Drosophila melanogaster: one gene and its partner. The gene in region 1 interacts genetically with each later gene. Each region holds a gene or a part of one and is shown on either strand. Other genes may lie near its edges. The genes, in order: CG4793 and hop.

Region 1 (5,266 bases):
TATGCTCCTTCATTATATTGAAATATATGAAATAAGATTCTATAAATTTCATTGAAAGTGATTCGCATTTGTTGACAAATATTCCAAATAAATGTGTAGACAAGTGACTGGAGACGAACGTCTTAACCCACCTTATTCAGCTTTGCTAGGCGAACAATTCCATCACTGGGCAGTCACAGGAGCCCAATCTGCGTTTCGCCGCCCTTGCGCCCTGAAATAAACAATATTTTCGCACATTTACCCAAAGCACCTACTTCCACTTAGCAACCTTTCGCCGAAGGAGCGCTGCTTTTACACCATTTGGTCCATTCGAAGAGGAAGGGGAAAAGGGGACCCTTGAGCAAACCACTTGATGACGAAGACATTTTGCCAGCTAAAAAATCGTATTTACAACATAATTTACACTCAAAGTGAGCATGGTGAGGAGGTCGGCGAAAAGCCAGGCTGTGATGAAGAGCGGGCGAAAAGGGTGAACTTGGAGCCGTGTGGCCCATTCAAAGTGCCACCACTCAAGTGCCACTTTGCCTTACTTATGCCTGACCAGGATCCGTCTGAAAAATGGGACAATTTCATGCCCTTTAATGGCAAACTTTTAGTGGTCAATGCAATGGCTGCCGCACAACATCATCAAGATGCGGGAATTACCAGAACCGCCGTAAAGAAATGGCAAACTGGAATGAAGCTCCGGTCCTTACGTTAAATTATGTAAAAATATAATTCTCCTTAAAAAAGAACGAGAAAAGCATTTGGTAGCTGGTGTATGGGAAAATGACGGAAAAGGTGAAAATTGTATTACACGAAATCAAGTCGAGTTCTGCACTCGCTGATGCTTTCCGCTTGCCGCCCTTTGATGTCGTTGCGCGAAAATTGAATAAAAATAATTTGTAATGCGTTTGCACTGCGGCAGATGGCTGGTGAGTTTGTGGTTGAGCGCTGAATGAAATGGAAATTACGGGAAATTTTGTAAATTAATGAGATGTTAAGGGGGCGAACCAGCTTGACGTAATTAATGAAGAGAATGCGACCCAGAAAACCAATATATGGTAACGTATATAAATGCCCCCAAATTGGTGTTATTAGAGGTTGGCTGTAATGTTCAATGTACTTAAAGAATGAATTCATGATTTTTCTTATTTTTTGCATGCTTTTAAGTATTTGTTGTATGCGTTACCAGAGTCAAATAAATATAATATATATAAGAATATAAATATAAGCAATGAAAAGACCTAGCTTTCGTATATATGATTAAATTTACTGTTCTTGGTATGCATAAGTGCTTTAATGCACTATAAGAATAAGTAAAAATACCCGACATGCTTCATCTTAATTCGTTATCGGTGGCAAGAATTTCGAAGAAGCCTTATCAAATCAGAATTTAAACATGAGAGAATGTTATAGTCGAGTGCTTCGACAATGAGATACCTGTTACTCAGCTGATAAATTTAATAAATAAATAAATATAAACGGATATTTTCAAAAGATGTGGGAGCAGCAGTTTGGGCGGTTTTTGGGCTTGAGAGTGGGCGTGGCAAAAAGTAGTTAGGATTATCGATATCAAAAAAAAAAAAACATTTTTCAAAAGTGTGAGCGAGGCCCTTTGGTCGGCTTATGGGCGTTAGAGTGGGCGTGGAAACATTGGAACGGGCGGACAGACGGACATGGCCAGTTCGACTCGGCATTGATCCTGATCATACTCTATAAAGTCGAAAACGTTTCATTCTGCCTGTTAGATACTTTTCAGCGAATCTAGTATACCCTCTTACTATACGAGTAACGGGTATACAAATTGAATTAATGTTCGCTGGCGATACAATATGTTGACCGCTTATTCGCAAACGACAGTGTATTAAATTCAAGCGTTTAGAATGGATCGCCTTTCCATTCTGCTCTTGGTTCTTGGATTCTCCCGGATCCAGGCTCTTTTCTGTGGTGGGTCAATGGCGAAAGAGTGCGTACAGCGAAACCGTTGCCGTATTGGTACCGAAACGGGAAGACCAATCATAGATTTTAGAGGACTTAATAACGGTAATCAGGGATGTGAATCTGGCCAAACCTGCTGCCCGAAAACGGAAATAGTAATGCTAATCGAGAGCTATCACTTGAATGTTCTTTTTTGACAGCCCATTGTCTTTGCAGTTACAATATCCAGTACAGGCTGACAATCAACCGCTACCTACTGAATGTGGCCACGTGAACCGTATAGGAGTGGGCTTCACCATAACTAACGCGAGAGACATCGCACAGAAAGGCGAACTGCCATGGATGGTGGCCCTGCTCGATTCCAGAAGCCGTCTACCGTTAGGCGGCGGCTCCCTAATTACGCGGGATGTGGTGCTTACATCATCTACGAAAACTTTGGAAGTTCCTGAGAAATATCTTATTGTGAGGGCTGGCGAATGGGACTTTGAAAGCATCACCGAGGAGCGAGCACATGAGGACGTTGCGATCAGGAAGATCGTACGACATACCAATCTCAGTGTCGAAAATGGTGCCAATAATGCGGCCCTTCTGTTCCTCGCTAGACCGCTAAAACTAGACCATCACATAGGTCTCATTTGTTTGCCGCCGCCGAATCGAAACTTTATCCATAATCGCTGCATCGTCAGTGGCTGGGGCAAAAAAACAGCCTTGGACAACAGTTACATGAATATCCTGAAAAAGATCGAGTTGCCATTGGTGGACAGATCTGTGTGTCAAACGAAACTGCAAGGACCCTACGGCAAAGACTTCATTCTCGATAACAGCCTAATATGTGCCGGCGGAGAACCTGGCAAGGATACGTGCAAAGGCGATGGAGGTGCCCCACTTGCCTGCCCACTGCAAAGCGATCCTAACCGGTACGAACTGTTGGGAATCGTAAACTTTGGATTCGGATGTGGAGGGCCACTTCCTGCTGCCTACACTGATGTTTCCCAAATTCGAAGCTGGATTGATAATTGTATCCAAGCGGAAGCAGTCCACTATTCTCCTCAGTTGGGAAATGTAGGCCAATCACCTGCTCCACTCGATCGCTATATACCAAATATAGGCCTAGAAACTCAAAATGAAGTCCACAGCCCGGTTCAAGGATCTCTCCATAATGTCGTATATCAAACTGGTGGTGTTGGATATATTCGAGGTATGGGCCAAGGAACTGCTTTCCAAGGACCAGTTCAAGTTGGAGAACTTATTCCGAACGAAGGCACCGTATCTGGCGGACTTGTATATGATTCAAATGAAATCCAAAAATTTAATCAAGGTGGAATATACATTCCACATGTAGGCCAAGGAAATAGTGACAATAGATATTATCCAAATCCGGAAATCGGAGCAGTTCCAGTCGGAAATCCTATTCCGAATGAAGGCAATGCATTTGGCGGTCGTGGATATGATTTTAATGAAATCCAAAAACATAATCAAGGTGGGAGATACATTCCACATGTAGGTCATGGAAATGGTCCCAATGCACCTAAAGAACCTCTTAAAATCGGAGGAAATATTCCAAATGTAGGCCAAGGAAACAGGGGTAATAGATATGATCTAAATCCTGAAATCGGAGCAGTTCCAGTCGGAAATCCTATTCCGAATGAAGGCAATGCATTTGGCGGTCGTGGATATGATTTAAATGAAATCCAAAAACATAATCAAGGTGGAAGATACATTCCACATGTAGGTCATGGAAATGGTCCCAATGCACCTAAAGAACTTCTTAAAATCGGAGGAAATATTCCAAATGTAGGCCAAGGAAACAGAGGGAATATATATGATCCAAATCCGGAAATCGGAGCAGTTCCAGTCGGAAATCCTATTCCGAATGAAGGCAATGCATTTGGCGGTCGTGGATATGATTTAAATGAAATCCAAAAACATAATCAAGGTGGAAGATACATTCCACATGTAGGTCATGGAAATGGTCCCAATGCACCTAAAGAACCTCTTAAAATCGGAGGAAATATTCCAAATGTAGGCCAAGGAAACAGAGGGAATATATATGATCCAAATCCGGAAATCGGAGCAGTTCCAGTCGGAAATCCTATTCCGAATGAAGGCAATGCATTTGGCGGTCGTGGATATGATTTAAATGAAATCCAAAAACATAATCAAGGTGGAAGATACATTCCACATGTAGGTCATGGAAATGGTCCCAATGCACCTAAAGAACCTCTTAAAATCGGAGGAAATATTCCAAATGTAGGCCAAGGAAACAGAGGGAATAGATATGATCCAAATCCGGAAATCGGAGCAGTTCCAGTCGGAAATCCTATTCCGAATGAAGGCAATGCATTTGGCGGTCGTGGATATGATTTAAATGAAATCCAAAAACATAATCAAGGTGGAAGATACATTCCACATGTAGGTCATGGAAATGGTCCCAATGCACCTAAAGAACCTCTTAAAATCGGAGGAAATATTCCAAATGTAGGCCAAGGAAACAGAGGTAATAGATATGATCTAAATCCTGAAATCGGACATGCCACATTTGGTGCAACCGGTACCGGAATGCAAGGAAATAATATAGATAATCCATATAAAAACAATCTTGGTGACAGAGCAGAAAATGAATTGGAAAGGTTTCCTCTTGAAAATCCCAATAGGGATCATGTTATCAGGCTTAGTGATTTTTTAATCACAACGCCCACTCCGAGTGCACCTATAAAATTGGTAATAGAAAAGATCTAACATAATTTCATAATTTTATTATAGAGCTAGTAATCTAAAACAATATTATTTCCATATTACAATTATAATTATATTTGTTCTCTTTTTACCTGTCTTTTAAATTGTGATTTTTTTTAATATTGAAAGCGGAGAAATATATATAACTTTTATAAGCTCCCTTCAGGTCAGACAATCTAATTTTTGGTTTAGTGGTAACCATCTGTATTTTTAGTTTTGACTTTGTTGCTTGCATTGCGCATTACAAATGTGCAAGTATATTATCCAGATTATTAGCTGATATCGAGTTAGGCCATCAGCAGCTGGACACACTATCATCCTATTGATTCTGTGGCCCACCCAAAATCCGGCTAATTGTGCTGGACTTTGGCTGGAGTTTATTACGAAGCAAGCTGGCCCCAAATTGCCACCCACCAAATACAACCAATTTCGCAGAAACAACGCACAAAAACTGGCCCAATATGGGGGCTTACTATAGTTACATGGCACTCAGAGGCGAACGTCGAATGGGGAACACATTGCGGCCCTATTGCTTTTAGCCAGAGTTCGTTTCTTGTTTATTTGTTTGTTTGACTGATTTGCTGTTGTTTATTTTGATTTCCGGCTCAAA
Region 2 (7,868 bases), on another chromosome or scaffold:
TAATATAAATAAGTAGCGGCAGCACGTTGGAGAATATATATTACGGTTTTCTGCTCTGCTCACGGGAACACTAGTTCTAGTTGGGATCAGTGTGACCAGAGGCGCGCTGCGTGTGCAGCCCAATCAGAAGTCCTGGGCAAACGTTCAAAGCGAGCGCGGGAAATAGGTCCGCAAGCATTGCAAGTATTACCTTTGGATTTAGCAGAAATGCATTAATATTACATTTAGTATTACATTTTATACAGGAAATGGCAGCTACATTTGTGTGTTCAAAGTTGCGTAAATATGAATTCCAATTGGAAAGTTGCCGATAGGTACTTATCGAGTGGAAGCACTATACTATCGATATGGAATAACTTTATTTATTCTAATAAACATTTAAGGAACACCTACTATTTCATTCTAAGCCCCTTTCCAGCCTAATTAAATTTAAATGTATGTTGAAATGATCCAATTTCAATTCTATTTTCCTTTCTGCATAATATTAAGCCATCTATCAACAATATTTCATCATTATAAAAGAAGAGATTAAAACTATCCAAGCAAAGGATTACAACACAATGCATTTTAAACGTACGAAACGAAAGATGTATTTATTTTCGGTACGCTAACGTAGGGCCGACCAAACAATTGAGTTGCGCTACCGAATTAAATATTAATTCCGGAACTCGAATCACGGATTTCAATTTCGGGCTGGGTGCAGACTACGGGCCACATACTTTGGATGTCGGCGGCGAAACGCAGCGCGGAAAAAAATGTGCTTACATGATAATTTTTTGTTTAAAAATAGATTTAACAGTAGGACAGTGACGGAAGCGTCCACGGACTCGGATACCCAGATCCCGGTGTCGGTGTCGATTAAGCGAACAAATCTACAGGTCGCCGCCACCTCGCTTTTGGAGCATCTGAGCGAACCGCTGGGTGATAAGCAGCGACGTGTCGATGAATCGGTCGACGCAGTTGCTCAGGCACGTCTCGGTGGCGTGGTCCAGCTTGGTACTCGGCTTGCCGATGCACTTCTCCCAGCAGATCTCGTTGAACTCGTGTATCTGGCGACGATATAATGTGCGAGGGCATATTGTTATGATTACGAATGGTTATTATGTGTATGGGGGAACCCGGCTCACCTGCGCGTTGACCTGTGCCTTCTGTTTCTCAATCAAGAGGAACTCCTGCAGCTCCTTGTCATTGCCGGAAAGGTTCTCAAAATCGGACATCGTGTGATTTTCAGTGAGCAATCTACAAATTGACCGGGCTCGTCCGGAATTTCATATATTCTAAGGTTTGAGGTTATATAAACGACACTGACAGCTGTGAACTGTGGAATTACAAAAATCGATGTGTATTCGATAGCAAAGCTATTCGATACTGGAAATGCCGTGCATATTGCACTGTTTGCACTGTTGTCATATTTAAATGGCAAGAATATAGACGCCATAGAGCAAATAACAGTATATTTTTTTTTCTTAAGCATCCTCCTCCTGCCAACGAGGGTATACAATTTTCAAGAATACATTTCTAAAGTAAGTTGTTATTTATATTTACTGAGAACTATCGAAAAAGAACTAGAACCTCGCGTTGCCAACCACTGGTTCGCAAGGTGCGATAGTACAGGTTATTGGACAATCGATGACAAAGTGGCTCGGCCGTCGGCCAATCGATATCGTGAGGTGCAAATTGTCCGATGAATTTCACTGAAATTCGTGGCTTGTATTGTAGCTTCGCAATTGCAGCTTCGTTTCGACAGCAGGCCCACTTTCAGATCGAAGGCGTCTATAATCGCCATCCAGTCCCGTCGCCCTGTTCCCACAACGCCCCACAAATTTCGGGATCTAGCTGGCGTTTCGGGTGTCTAATTTCGGACCAGTGCACTGTGATTTCCGATTTCCAGTTTACTTTGCTGACGGATCGCCCAAGTGGCGAAGTGGTTCTTGCTCGGAAAGTTGGCGCTTGCTAAAAGAAGGAGCAGTCCAGGTGGTTCCCCGCCAGTGGCATCAATGGAACTCGCGCTGGAGTTTGGGGCAACCTTGCAACTGCAAGGGTAAGAGCATCGCCGATTCCAGGAGCATTCGCAGTAAGCCCAAAAATAGCAACTCAAGTCAGTCGCGGTGGTCATTGTTATTGGCAAGAAGAAGAGGAAACGGATAGAACGCGGCAAATTCCTAGGAAAGCTCCCATGATCTAGCTTCAGTGCGGCCGCGTAAGGAAACTGCTCCAGCCAAGGAACTGGGCTTGCAGGAGCAGCAGATAGCACCCAGCCCACAAGGGACCACTCACCGACAATCCTCTCATGGCCCTGGCCAACGGGGGAGAGGATAGAATGGACGACAGCAGCAGCGGACGCACTTCGCTGGCGGACAGCGCCAGCCTGACGAACTCCTCGCTGCGCAGCGGCACCTCCTCGCAGAGCATCCACACCAACGATGGCACAATCCGTGTGTTCAACTTCACCACCGGCGAATTTGAGCGTTTCCATCCCAACATGCTGTGCGAGGAGATCTGCAATACGATGTGCCGCCAGCTGGGCATTGCACCAATTGCCCAGCTGCTCTACGGAATACGGGAGCACTCGACATCGCGACGTCCCTCGCCGCTGGTGCGTTTGGATCTGACGTGGTGCCTGCCCGGCGAGCGACTCAACTGCCAGCTGGTCTATTGCTTTCGGATGCGTTTCCGTGTGCCCGAATTGGATAGCCAGCTGGAGTTGATCGATGGACGGAGCCACAAGTTCCTCTACCGCCAAATGCGCTACGATATGCGGACCGAGCAAATCCCGGAGATTCGCTATCCGGAGCACAAGGACAAATCAACGGGACTGGCCGTGATGGATATGCTAATCGACGATCAGGAACAGTCGGAGGATCAGCAGGCGATGCGCTCCATCGAGAAGCTTTACAAACTGTATTTGCCACCGAGCTTGTGGCGCGCCCACAGCTTCTTTGTGGGCTCCAAGATACGTGAGGTTTTCCGCAGTCTAAAAGCGAATTCGCTGAGTGTGGAGCGTTTGAAGTGGCACTATGTGCATCAGGTATCCCATTTGGCGCCCACCTATATGACCGAACAGTTCACCTGCACCGTTCAGTATCTGCCCAACGAGGAGGTGGCCCGCGGTAGCGGACCCATCGGCACCAGTCTGGCCCACTCGACGTCGACGCTGGCCAGTTCTGGATCGACCAACACTCTGTCCACGCTCACCACCAACACCAATTCCGTTGCACTCGGCGGCAGTGGCAAGAAGGCCAAACGACGTTCCACCAGCGGTGGAATCGATGTCTATGTGCGAGTCTTTCCACACGATTCCCTGGAGCCTGGACTCAAGGTGGCCAGGGTCACCTCCGAGGCCACACTCAAGGTACACACTATGTTTCCTTCTGAAATCTTATATGGTTTCTTGTGGTTTTCCCATCGAAATGCGCATTTTAATGCTGGCCATTTTAAATATGGAAATACCATTAATATTATAATATTTAAAAAACATTTTGATAGATTTCTCAATTTAATTAACGCGATTGTCTTGGTAATCAAGTTGCTTATCGCTGGCAAAGATTCTTGAAATATTCATACATACATACCATATGTAATTGCACTAGCATCCCATTGATAATCCTCATTTCCTCTGCAGTGGATCCTTGTTGGCGCCGTGGAAGGAATTTTTATGATCTCCAAAATCAACGACACCTCTGTGCGGCTGGAAATCGTTGGTCTGCCCAAGGGCTACGAGATGCAGTTTCAGACGGAGAAGGAGATGAAGTCCTTCATCTCCTACCTGGGTATCTACATCAGGTGAGTGGTTCACTTGTAATCGGTGAGCTTTAGATCCCAAAGAGTTCGCTTCCAACTAAATTTTAATCTTTTAAGCCGAACTTGCTTGGTCTTTTTTTCACCAGAATTTATAGGCATCTCATTGTAGTGTTCGTGTAACAATAATCAGTGCCCAATGTTCTTAATCAAACTACTCAATTGTTTTTTTTAACATCCATTGATTTAAAAAAAAAAACATCAAGTCATCAATTCCACGAACTCATTTAATAACATAATAATTCCACTTAAAAGTTAATGATTCCCACATAAATATGACATTTGATAACACGATTAAATACAGTGCTTGAAATGCTTGCTTTTTTGTTTAAAGAGTTTGTTAAAACCAAGTCCCTGTTTGTTTTGTAATCCAACACACAAAGTCGGTTTTCGTTATCAGGCTAAAATTAAAACAAGCAAGAAATTTAAAACTAAATGCTTTCAGAAGATTTCTTCAGTTAAATTGATTAAATAATTACGCACTAATCGGTTTTAAATGTTACATTGCTATTTATATCGCCTGCGTCAATGTGCAGTACTTCTCAATAACTCAATAAAGTTATATGTACGTAATTGAAACAATTGATTCCCAGCTATAGAATCACTTTTCAAATGCAATAATAATAATAATAATAATAATAATAACAATGCCAATGGACAGCAACAAATGTGCGCAACTTATAACTCGTATTTGCCATCCGTTTATTCCTTGCAGATTGTCGAGCAAATGGATGCAGGATCTGTGCCATTCGTACCGCACGCCCTCCCTGGAGGAGCTGAGCTCCCTCCACTGCCATGGTCCAATCGGCGGTGCCTACTCGCTGATGAAGCTGCACGAGAACGGTGACAAGTGCGGCAGCTATATTGTGCGTGAATGCGATCGAGAATACAACATATACTACATCGATATCAACACCAAAATGTGAGTACATGCGCGCCTTCACACAGTTATCAGTTACTTCCTCCTCGCTGGTTATCAGGCTTACAAACATTTCTGTATGCAATGCCACATGATACACAAAAATGCTGTGTGCGCTATGTGGCCAATTGTTTCGCTTACTGATGATTGCCTGTGTGTGTGTGTGATTGATGATGCCCAAATTAGATGTGATCGGTTTTATCTCATGCGAAAATCCCGCTCACCTTTGCAGCATGGCCAAGAAAACCGATCAGGAACGCTGCAAGACGGAGACATTTAGGATCGTGCGCAAGGACTCGCAATGGAAGCTAAGCTACAACAACGGCGAGCATGTACTAAACTCACTGCACGAAGTGGCGCACATCATTCAAGCGGATAGTCCCGATCGCTATCGCATACCCGCCTCCAAATATGACAAGCCGCCGCTGCTGCTACTGCTGCTGCCAAAGAACCTCAAGGCCAAAAAGACTGACCTCCAGCTGAGCGAGGCGGAGCTGCAGCGCCGCAATCCGCAGATCTTCAATCCCCGAACGGATCTGCAGTGGTATCCAGGTGGGTCATACTATATATTCTAATGCCTTGCTTCGTTCTAATCGCTCGTCTTTTGCGCAGATTCGATATCGCTTAGCGACGATGGCATGATGTTTACGATGCGCGGCGATTGGATCCAACAGAGTCCCGTCAAGGATGTGTCCGTGACGATGAAAATGCTAAAGAGCGATGGCAATTTCATGGAGTTCTTTCGCTTGGCACAGACCTGGAGCCTCATCCAGTCGCCGCAGTTCCTCAAGCTGTACGGCCTAACGCTCGCCGATCCGTACACAATGGTCATGGAGTATTCGCGGTATGGTCCGCTCAATAAGTTCCTGCACTCGATGCCCAATGTAACACTGCATTGTCTACTGGATCTGATGCATGGATTGGTGCGCGGCATGCACTATTTGGAGGACAACAAGATTATCCACAATTACATACGATGCAGTAATCTGTACGTGACCAAGTACGATCCGAATTCGTACGTGCTAGACGCGAAAATTAGCGATCCCGGCTATCCGCGTCCCTACCGAGAATCCGAGTGAGTAGCCGACAAATACAACTTAATCATCTTCTCGGTTGGGTCATACTCTTTGATAAAACAAAAAAAAAGCAAACAGCATTTTAAATAACATCATTCATTCTCCACTTTCAGCTCGCCATGGATACCTGTTAAGTATTATCGCAATTTGCAAGCAGCCAAAACGGATCAGTTTGCCCAGCTGTGGGCCTTCGCTACCACCATATACGAGATCTTCTCGCGCTGCAAGGAAGATCTGAGCACACTGCGCCAGGAGCAGCTACTCAGGCAGAAAAATCTCGATGGCAACATACTCAAGATGCTCGATCAGGACATCTGTCCGGCGCCGATATTCGAGACAATCATGGATGGATGGTCCGATGATGAGACCAAGCGCTTCAGTCACCACGACATTTTCTCGCGTCTCAACACGATCAAGGCGGAAATTCTGCCCAATTATATGCCGCCACCCGAGATCGCAACGAGTAAGTTGAGCAGACGAAAGCAGCGTTACGAGATTGGCATACATTTCATCTTCTATTTTTTTTTCCAGATGGAACTGGAGACGAGACCGTGATCGATAGAAGCGACATACCCTTTCTACCCTTTCCGCGTTCGAATATGTTGATGGTCATACCGCTGACCAGCGAATGTCGAGTGATCTACAACATGGAGAACATGATCGGGCGCGGTCATTATGGCACTGTCTACAAGGGTCATCTGGAGTTCAACGACAAGGATCAGCCGCGCGAGCAGGTTGCCATCAAGATGCTGAACACCATGCAGGTGTCGACCGATTTTCATCGCGAGATCGGCATCATGCGCACCCTCAGTCATCCGAACATAGTCAAGTTCAAGTATTGGGCTGAGAAGTCGCACTGCATCATTATGGAATATCTGCAATCTGGTTCCTTCGACATTTACCTGCGTTTCACGGCACCCAATCTCAATAATCCACGGCTCGTCAGCTTCGCTTTAGATATTGCAAATGTGAGTGGTTCGAATATGGCTTTAGAACGGAACAAGTTTTCCGGAAAAAAGAGGGAAAACTCAAAGAAAAATCTACAAATATTTTAAGGGTTTTTGCATCATAACTTGGCCAAAAGTGGTCAAATTTCGAAGGGAATGACTGTTTTTAAAAGCTTATGATCCCAATTAACAAATCCTATTTCTTTTTTTTTGAATTTGGTGGATTCAAAATTTTTCCATTTTTTTGAATTTTTTACAAGGGGTAACATCATCAAAATTTGCAAAAAATGGCAAAAAATTAAAAGTTCCCATTTTGAACCCCAATCGATTGGGAATTAAATTACGAGCCAAACGAGGTATAACAATCCATATTTGGGCTACTACTACCCAAGATGTGGCCAAAAAACTGCCCATTTTGGACAAAAAACCACAAAAAAGAACTTTGGTATAGAAAACTCATGTTTACGACTTTAGAAGAGATATTTCCTTTTGATCCAGTACTTAATCCAAATGCTTCTCGTCGCAGGGCATGAAATACTTGTCCGACATGGGACTCATCCACCGCGACCTGGCCGCCCGCAACATTTTGGTGGACCACAACGGCGATGGTGACTGCGTCAAAATCTCAGACTTCGGCCTGGCGCAATTCGCCAATTCCGATGGATATTACTATGCGAAAAGCAAGCGTGATATTCCCATTAGATGGTAAGAAAAAAAGAAGATGGATTGACGGTAGGCCACTATCGCAACTGAATATCTTTGCTTTCCATTGGTCAGGTACTCTCCGGAGGCCATCTCCACCTGCAGATTCTCATCGTATTCGGATGTTTGGAGCTATGGCGTGACGCTCTTCGAAATGTTTTCGCGCGGCGAGGAGCCCAATTTGGTGCCGATCCAGACATCGCAGGAGGATTTCCTCAATCGCCTTCAGAGCGGCGAACGGTGAGTTATCGTGAGATTTGGGTCCATCAACTTGTTGAGTAATTCGAGTAATTCGTTTGCTTACAGCTTAAATCGTCCGGCCAGTTGTCCCGATTTCATTTACGACCTGATGCAGCTGTGCTGGCATGCCACGCCCCGTTCGCGACCCAGTTTCGCGACCATTGTGGACATCATCACAAGGGAGGT

Evidence for each region.
Region 2: of CG4793 (region 1) and hop, changing one suppresses a phenotype caused by changing the other (phenotypic suppression), as found in Drosophila melanogaster (one study listed by BioGRID).

The regions. Positions count from the first base shown.
Region 1 is NT_033779.5:15,921,545-15,926,810, forward strand, and holds CG4793 (uncharacterized protein), read left to right. Parts: upstream 1-1,850; 5' UTR 1,851-1,865; coding exon 1,866-2,075; intron 2,076-2,136; coding exon 2,137-4,659; 3' UTR 4,660-4,743; downstream 4,744-5,266.
Region 2 is NC_004354.4:11,361,885-11,369,752, reverse strand, and holds the start of hop (hopscotch), read left to right. Parts: upstream 1-1,654; 5' UTR 1,655-2,290; coding exon 2,291-3,352; intron 3,353-3,622; coding exon 3,623-3,783; intron 3,784-4,513; coding exon 4,514-4,720; intron 4,721-4,949; coding exon 4,950-5,269; intron 5,270-5,329; coding exon 5,330-5,792; intron 5,793-5,906; coding exon 5,907-6,256; intron 6,257-6,324; coding exon 6,325-6,761; intron 6,762-7,266; coding exon 7,267-7,445; intron 7,446-7,517; coding exon 7,518-7,682; intron 7,683-7,748; coding exon 7,749-7,868. Other genes in the region: Tim8, read right to left, coding at 873-1,049, 1,128-1,217. UniProt on the Drosophila melanogaster protein: Tyrosine kinase of the non-receptor type, phosphorylates the marelle protein. Required maternally for the establishment of the normal array of embryonic segments: involved in the control of pair-rule gene transcription in a stripe-specific manner.